Linked DNA regions of Xenopus tropicalis. Each later gene encodes a partner of the first gene's protein in a complex. Links are inferred from orthologs where the notes say so. Each region holds a gene or a part of one and is shown on either strand. Other genes may lie near its edges. The genes, in order: ralgapa1 and ralgapb.

The links.
Region 2: ralgapa1 (region 1) and ralgapb share a complex: the UniProt entries of both Homo sapiens proteins name them as parts of the heterodimeric RalGAP1 complex. The link is inferred for Xenopus tropicalis from reciprocal best matches to the Homo sapiens genes RALGAPA1 and RALGAPB.

Annotation. Positions count from the first base shown.
Region 1 is NC_030684.2:108,151,833-108,154,503, reverse strand, and holds part of ralgapa1 (ral GTPase-activating protein subunit alpha-1), read left to right. Parts: intron 1-810; coding exon 811-956; 3' UTR 957-2,671. UniProt on the Homo sapiens protein: Catalytic subunit of the heterodimeric RalGAP1 complex which acts as a GTPase activator for the Ras-like small GTPases RALA and RALB.
Region 2 is NC_030686.2:42,224,845-42,229,157, forward strand, and holds the start of ralgapb (ral GTPase-activating protein subunit beta), read left to right. Parts: upstream 1-1,256; 5' UTR 1,257-1,423; intron 1,424-4,313. UniProt on the Homo sapiens protein: Non-catalytic subunit of the heterodimeric RalGAP1 and RalGAP2 complexes which act as GTPase activators for the Ras-like small GTPases RALA and RALB.

The DNA.
Region 1 (2,671 bases):
CTGTCTGTAAATCACTGCATGAATATTGGGCAATACACACACTAAAAGATCTCTCAGCACCGCACCTTGTGTACTGCTTGTAACTGGTGTATGGCTAATACTAATTTGCTTTGTACGAACCACCACATGACAAATCATTGTGTATGCACGTTGGTGTTGCCCAGCATGGCCCATTCAGCCCCATGTCTATAGCAAACAGTTATTTGCCTTCTTCCTGCTGATCTCATTGCTGCCTGATTCCAGTCTGCGTGACCAATGCCTGCATTATGAGCAAAGAGCATGGCAAATTGCACCATTGCTAAACATTAAGTAAATTGTACCTCATGGAATATTATGGCATCAACTTTTTGCATGAAGGGAAGAAAATTGGTTTAAGGCCTGTGGCACACAGTGGGGATATTGAGGATGCCATATTCTATTACTGAGCATGGCCAGAGCTATTTTATTCATATTTCTATGTGGAACACCATTAAGACGTGTGACTTTCCTAATATGATAGTATAAAGCTGGCCACATATCTGCTTGTTTAGTAAGGTGTTTCCCCAATATGCCCACCTTGATGTCAGATCCAATTGTTTGACCCTACAGCCAGATATCAGTTATGTAGGCCCAGCAGAGGGCCCTATACATGGGCACATAAGCTGTCAACTCTGACTGAAGGAGCCAAATTGGCAGCTACAATCTGCCCACGTATGGCACTCTCCCTAATGATTTAAAATCACGTTAGAATTTTGTTCAGTGTTTATAGTGTATCTGCAACATGTGAGGAACATGTGAGACCTACCTTTGTTCTCCCGTGTCATTGGCCAGGGCCTTGCCCAACGAAAGAGCAAGATGAGAACGTATCGCCTCCGGGGGATGGATCAGAACTGGCTTTTTCTTTGTCACCACGGAGCAGCAAAAGTCGCATGTCCATAAAGCTCCGGCGTTCCTCTGGCTCTGCCAACAAAACCTGAGTCTTCACTTCATAGTCTGAGTGTCTCCAATCACTGGCGGTGCCATTTTAGGACAAGTTCAGGCACTCGAAATTCACTCCAGACTTTATACTTCCTGTGTTTTTATGCTAGTTTTTCCACATTTTATTTGAGTGAACAACACTGGACTTTTAGACCTTATTTAATATTTTAGCCTGATACCTGTGTTTTTAATTCTTTACAATGCAGGGTGCCATATGTATATCTTTGCAGCTTTTAATCCTCTATTACTGGGTCTTTAAAAGGCTGAAATGATGCCTGAAAAGCGAACATTCAGTGAGCTCTTGTAGCTATGCCATTTTTGTGTTCTCCATGTTGTATATTTATTCACTATATTATTATTACCAGAGGCTTATTTTCCTCTTTTTTTTTTAACCCGTTTTCTCTGGGTCAACACAGAAATGAAACATAGATCTAAACTGTTGTTTCACTGATCATGATCTGATTTTGAAAGATCTCTTGTATAAATATGTCTATGGCTTTTTGGTACAATGAAACCTAAAGAGATTCCAGATTAAAGATAAATGTAGCACAGCAACTCACTATTTTTATACATGTATTATTTGTTTTATATATATAATATATATATTTCTTTCACAGGCCTGATTTTATTTAAAAAAAAACCAAGGTGTTCTTTAGCGCAGGGGTTGCATTGAGAAGAAGATGGATTTTTTTTTTTTTAGCAGAATGTGTTAGTGCTTCTCATTAGCAGATAAGCCGGGGTCCCGAGAGGTGTCTTTGCTTGTATCCCTTTAAATAAGGATCATTCCACTTCACCAAAATATTATTTGAGGTTTTATTGTTGTTTTTTTAATATGCCAATTGAGTTATTATATGACATTATCATTGCATGTAAATGAATTGTGTTACACATGGCCTTGTATGTGCTCAATGGTCTGTGCCTTGGCAACAAAGCATTGCTGTATTATAGAAGGCATGAATCCAGTAATTAATGTTGCCCTTCAAGACCATGAATGACCCTCTGTAAATTGGCCTTCAGGCCTGAGTGCTTCTAAAGTCATGGACTCAAACCCGTTTCCAACGGCTTCTTCTCTAGTGGGGCCCAAACGACCTACGGGATACTGGTCTGATATCATTTCACATGGATTGTTCTTCTATGTTCCAATCATGTAACTCCCTGCATTGTCTCTATTGATTCCTGTTTTCCTTATTATGTGTCTTTGTTTTCTTTTAAGAGTGTAAACTGTATCTTGTCACGCTTGCTGTTAGAGCACTGATACCGAGCACCATGTCTTCTATAGAAACTATACAGAACGTGCATCTTATTCTATTCAAATCTGCTCATTAAAAGTTCCTGCTGCTTTACTTGTCCTTCCTGAGAGGAGAGCAAACCACTAGAGCGCCATTATCAGAGGCAGTTCCAGTGTGTAGCCTCCATGTGTGGCTGTAATATGGCTGCTTTTCTTGCACAGTTACAGTTAGTGCATCTTTATAGCTCTAGAAACTACATTTTTCACAAATACTTTGCTTTCCATTATATTGCTCTATCCTGCCTGCAAGCCAAATTGTGAGCTACAAGTAAAAACACTACATATCATTTTAAGCTTTGTTTTTAACAACGATAACCCACAGTACCCATAATACCTGTCCTATCAGTGCTTTCATATTAACATACCTCATTATTCCTCCTTATTCCTCATATGTCAGTGGGTACCCACTATTGTAACAGCTGCTCT
Region 2 (4,313 bases), on another chromosome or scaffold:
TTAATTAAAACAGCCCTTATAGGGCAAAGTGGACATTTTATGGGAAATATTATGGGAAAATTGACATTTGGGAGCAAATTAATGAAAAATTTCTCTCTCCCTGTTTCAAAAATATCACTTGTTTAAGCAGTTTACTATTAAGGCTGATGCCACACGTGGCGTTTTTACGCTGCGTATTTTCTAATTCTCTCGGCGGCTGAAAAACGCCTGATATCATCATCCATAGAAATAACTTGAAAAGACGCAAAGCAAACCACACAATGCGGAAATACGCTAGAAAACGCCTTACCGCGGATTTTTCAAGCGTTTTCCGAAATACGCCAGTATTTGCACAGCAAGCTATTCCTATGTATACACAAAGGCAGCTGCCAGACCTAGCGGAAATACGCGGCGTTTTTTACTATTTCGCACTATTAGCACCATGGAAACGGGATTTGCTACGTCACCAGTACTAGGCTGAAAAACGCCATAGTCAGGGGCTGTGTGGCTTGTGCGGCGTTTTTAGGCTGAGAAAATACGCAGTGTAAAAACGCCACGTGTGGCATCAGCCTAATGGCAGCAGTTTTTTCTCAGTTGCTCCAAGTGTTGCATTCCATTTGGCAGGACATTGAAGGAAAACCAATTTTGTCACTGGGTTATACTGGTTTATCCCAACCTTCAGGCAGGCGAACACTCTAAAAACCCTGAGAAAATGATAAAAAATGCTTTTAGTAAATCACAGGAATGCTCAAACTTGAGGAGAAAAATAGTCAATGGCCAAAGAACGCAAGATATTAACAAATAGATACAAATGGCAAGATTAGACGTGAGCAAATATGCACCACAATGTGCGTTGGAGGGGCAAAAATGATACTTATTATACTAATATTTGTCTTCATGAAAATGTAAAAATACAAATTAACAAAGATGATTAAACATATGAAATTCCTGCACTTTAGCACGTATAATATTCCATACTATTTTATCTTAACCGTGCAGACATTTTTTTTTGTGTATAGTGGAACTTTATACTATTATTATTAAAGAGGAGTTTAATTGTATTTCCCTCAGAAATATTACCCAGTCAGTCAGACACCCGCAGCCAAACTACGCATGCGCAGCTTCCTCACTCCTGTCAACAAGCTGCGTTCCAAGCCTCCGTCTGGCCGCGCGTATTTTGTTAGTTTTTTTTCTGTAGACGTCACGGCTTAGGAGTAAAGATGATTGGTTGTCCGTCTGCGGATGTCAGGCTCTGACCAATAGGGTAGCGGATGCAATGTTGTCACTAGACTGGATGTATAGGCCGGCCATCTTGCTTATGCTGTGCATGATCCGCCCTGCTTGTTGCGGAAGCGGTATTTTCAGCGGGGCCTAAGGAAGAATTGGCGCTGATGTGAAGGGGGAACTTGGGAAGCGAGTGCTGCATGGGCAGCCCCAACAACTGGTGAGGTGACAGCTGCTGCCTAGGAGGGAATGAGGGTGGGGGCTGTGCCAAAGCCTTGGGTCTAGTTAGTGGGGCACTAGTGACACTGCAATGCTATGAGCATTCTTAGTAATCTAGGGGTGCGCTGTGTGGGACCCCTCCATTCTCTAACATTATCCTCCGACTGTTGAATGCTGAGAGATGAAGTTTAACCAACTTTAAGGGCATCTGCACCCTGACACTGGTTTGTGTGTAGTCAACGGAAATGTCAAAACATTTTAGTGGTTTTAAAGTTGTGTGTAAATGTCATGGCAGGCGGTGTTTGTTTATCCCTTTCCCGGGTCCCACCCTTGAAACAGTGTTCCAGAAGGTAGTTTACTTGCTACATTGTTTCAGAAGTCAGAACCAGCAGGGCAGAGAACATAAATAGTTCTGGTTTCCACAGGAATTTTATTTACAGAAAACTTTACTAGCCTTTGGGTTTTGTATTTATCCGGCTACTCGGGCCTTGAAAATCACTTGAAAATTCAGGGACACATCTAATGAATACCTGTTGCAGGGCAGCACTGATTGCATTTGAAATAAACTGCAATCAGGTGAGCCCTGCTAGCTGGATTTTTTAAACGTGTCCCTCAATTTTCAAGTGATCAGGTCACCCTAGCCCAGCGCTTCCCCCCACAGCCACTGGGGCTGGCATGTTAGTTGATCAGTGTGTCTCCAGTGTGAGCTGTGGCTGTTAGGCACTACAGCGTGTAGATATAGTTGCCACCGTAATGGGCACATTTGAATTAAAATGCCATTTATGCGGACTGGAAACACGACGGTAGTTGGGGATAATGAGTAACGAAGGCTAATCACTTCCTAAGATGAATTGGCCATCCCTGATATAGTCCCATTTGCTCTAGAAACAAGTGTCTGATTGCACAACGTAACTTCATTGGTGGAAGAAGGCCCCTGACTTTGGGCCCAAGCATTTTACTCAGGGAGATAAAAAATGTTGCATGTTACTAAAATGTATTCCTTAAGGGTGAAGACACACAGAGCTACTAGTAGCAGCTACTTTTTCACGGCTACTAAAAGCCAAAAAATCCGCTGCCATGGACAATACTGAGCATTGCCTCCGCTAAAACACATGTTGAGACAGTTATCAGTAAATGATCAGCATTGTCTATTTTAGTAGCCACTATAAGTAGCTGCTACTAGTAGCTCCGTGTGTTTTCACCATAAAGCAGCGGATTTGCCAATCATTTCCTGTAAGAACATAATATTATCATACTCGGTGCATGTAATACAGATGCTCACAGTTGATATTGAGTACACACCATTAGGTTGAAGACACACGGAGCTACTAGTAGCAGCTATTTGTTGCGGCTACAGAAATAGACAATGCTGATCATTTACTGTTAACTGTCTCTACGTGTGTTTTAGAAGAGGCTATTCTCAGTATTGTCTATGGCAGGGGATTTTCTGGCTTTTAGTAGCCGTGACAAGTAGCTGCTACTAAGTAGCTCTGTGTGTAATCATCCTTAAATTTAGTTCAATTGCAGTTGACCAGGGCTAGTTGGATAGGTTACAACTCTGGGGTGATATTTCTCTAGTTTTGTCAGTTGCCTCCCCCTGCTGCTTCTGTAGCAGGACTATACTGGGGAGGGGACATCCTAGGTACCCCCATAGAACCTGTTTTCAGGGGCCAATTCTCATCTCTTAGCAACAAACCATGCTAAATGATTACATTGCTGGTTGCCAGTTTATCCCTTTTCCTATTAGCCCTGAGCAGGGTGTCTGCTCCATTTAGATGGATTACAGGGGAAGTGTGAGTGAAGTAAGGGCCACGCTGCATCCTGTTGGCCAATGACCCCTCATACAAGGTCAGATAAGATGTATCTTATCACCTTTTCCCAATACTTTAGTCCAAGTAAAGGAGCATTTCAATAGGTTGCTAGGATCAGTGACCTTAGCAACCAGGCACACTAAATAGGTTAGTGTTTATTTTAACTGTTTATAGTTCATGCCATGTAGTATGAAAGCATTTAGAGTCCAATTAACTAACCAATCAAATATATATTTTTTAAAAAAGTGGGAGGTGCTCATATTTAGTACAGCTGAGGGATAATGGTGCTAATGATGCTGAAATTTCAGGTTTACCTCAATTAAGGGCAAGAAATTGCTCCCATATCAATAGAAAGCAGTGTATTTGGCATCTGATAAACTCTGTCCCCGGGTGCCACGCTGCCTTAGGCGCTGGCATTAATAGGAAGGTCTCTATGGGGATGGCACAGATTTGCAGAGCAATGGGATCCATGCATGGCTGTATTATTTTTGTACGGGATTAGGAACAGATTTTCAATCGACGCTTAGACGTAGCAAATTACTTATCTGTGTTACCAGGTATTGCAGGCTGGCATTGCTTGGGTCAAAGGTGCCATTAAAGGTTGGACTTCTGTGACCCGGATGGGCATGTGTGCATCAAGCTATCACTTTGTTGTTGTGGCTTTGTCTTGCCCCCCTGTATGAAAATTACGACTTAACCTGTATCAAAGCACTCCGCCTACAGCTTTGTGCCTTTATATGGGCACAGAACCCCTCAGTGACTGCTAATATCCTTATCATTTACAGTAGGGGGTACATTATCCCTTATAATACATGAGTGATACTCAGAGTTCCCTGTATAACTCAGCCTGCAGCCTTGTGCCTTTATATGGGCACAGAACCCCTCAGTGACTTCTAATATCCTTATCATTTACAGTAGGGGGTACATTATCCCTTATAATACATGAGTGATACTCAGAGTTCCCTGTATAACTCAGCCTGCAGCCTTGTGCCTTTATATGGGCACAGAACCCCTCAGTGACTGCTAATATCCTTATCATTTACAGTAGGGGGTCACATTATCCCTTATAATACATGAGTG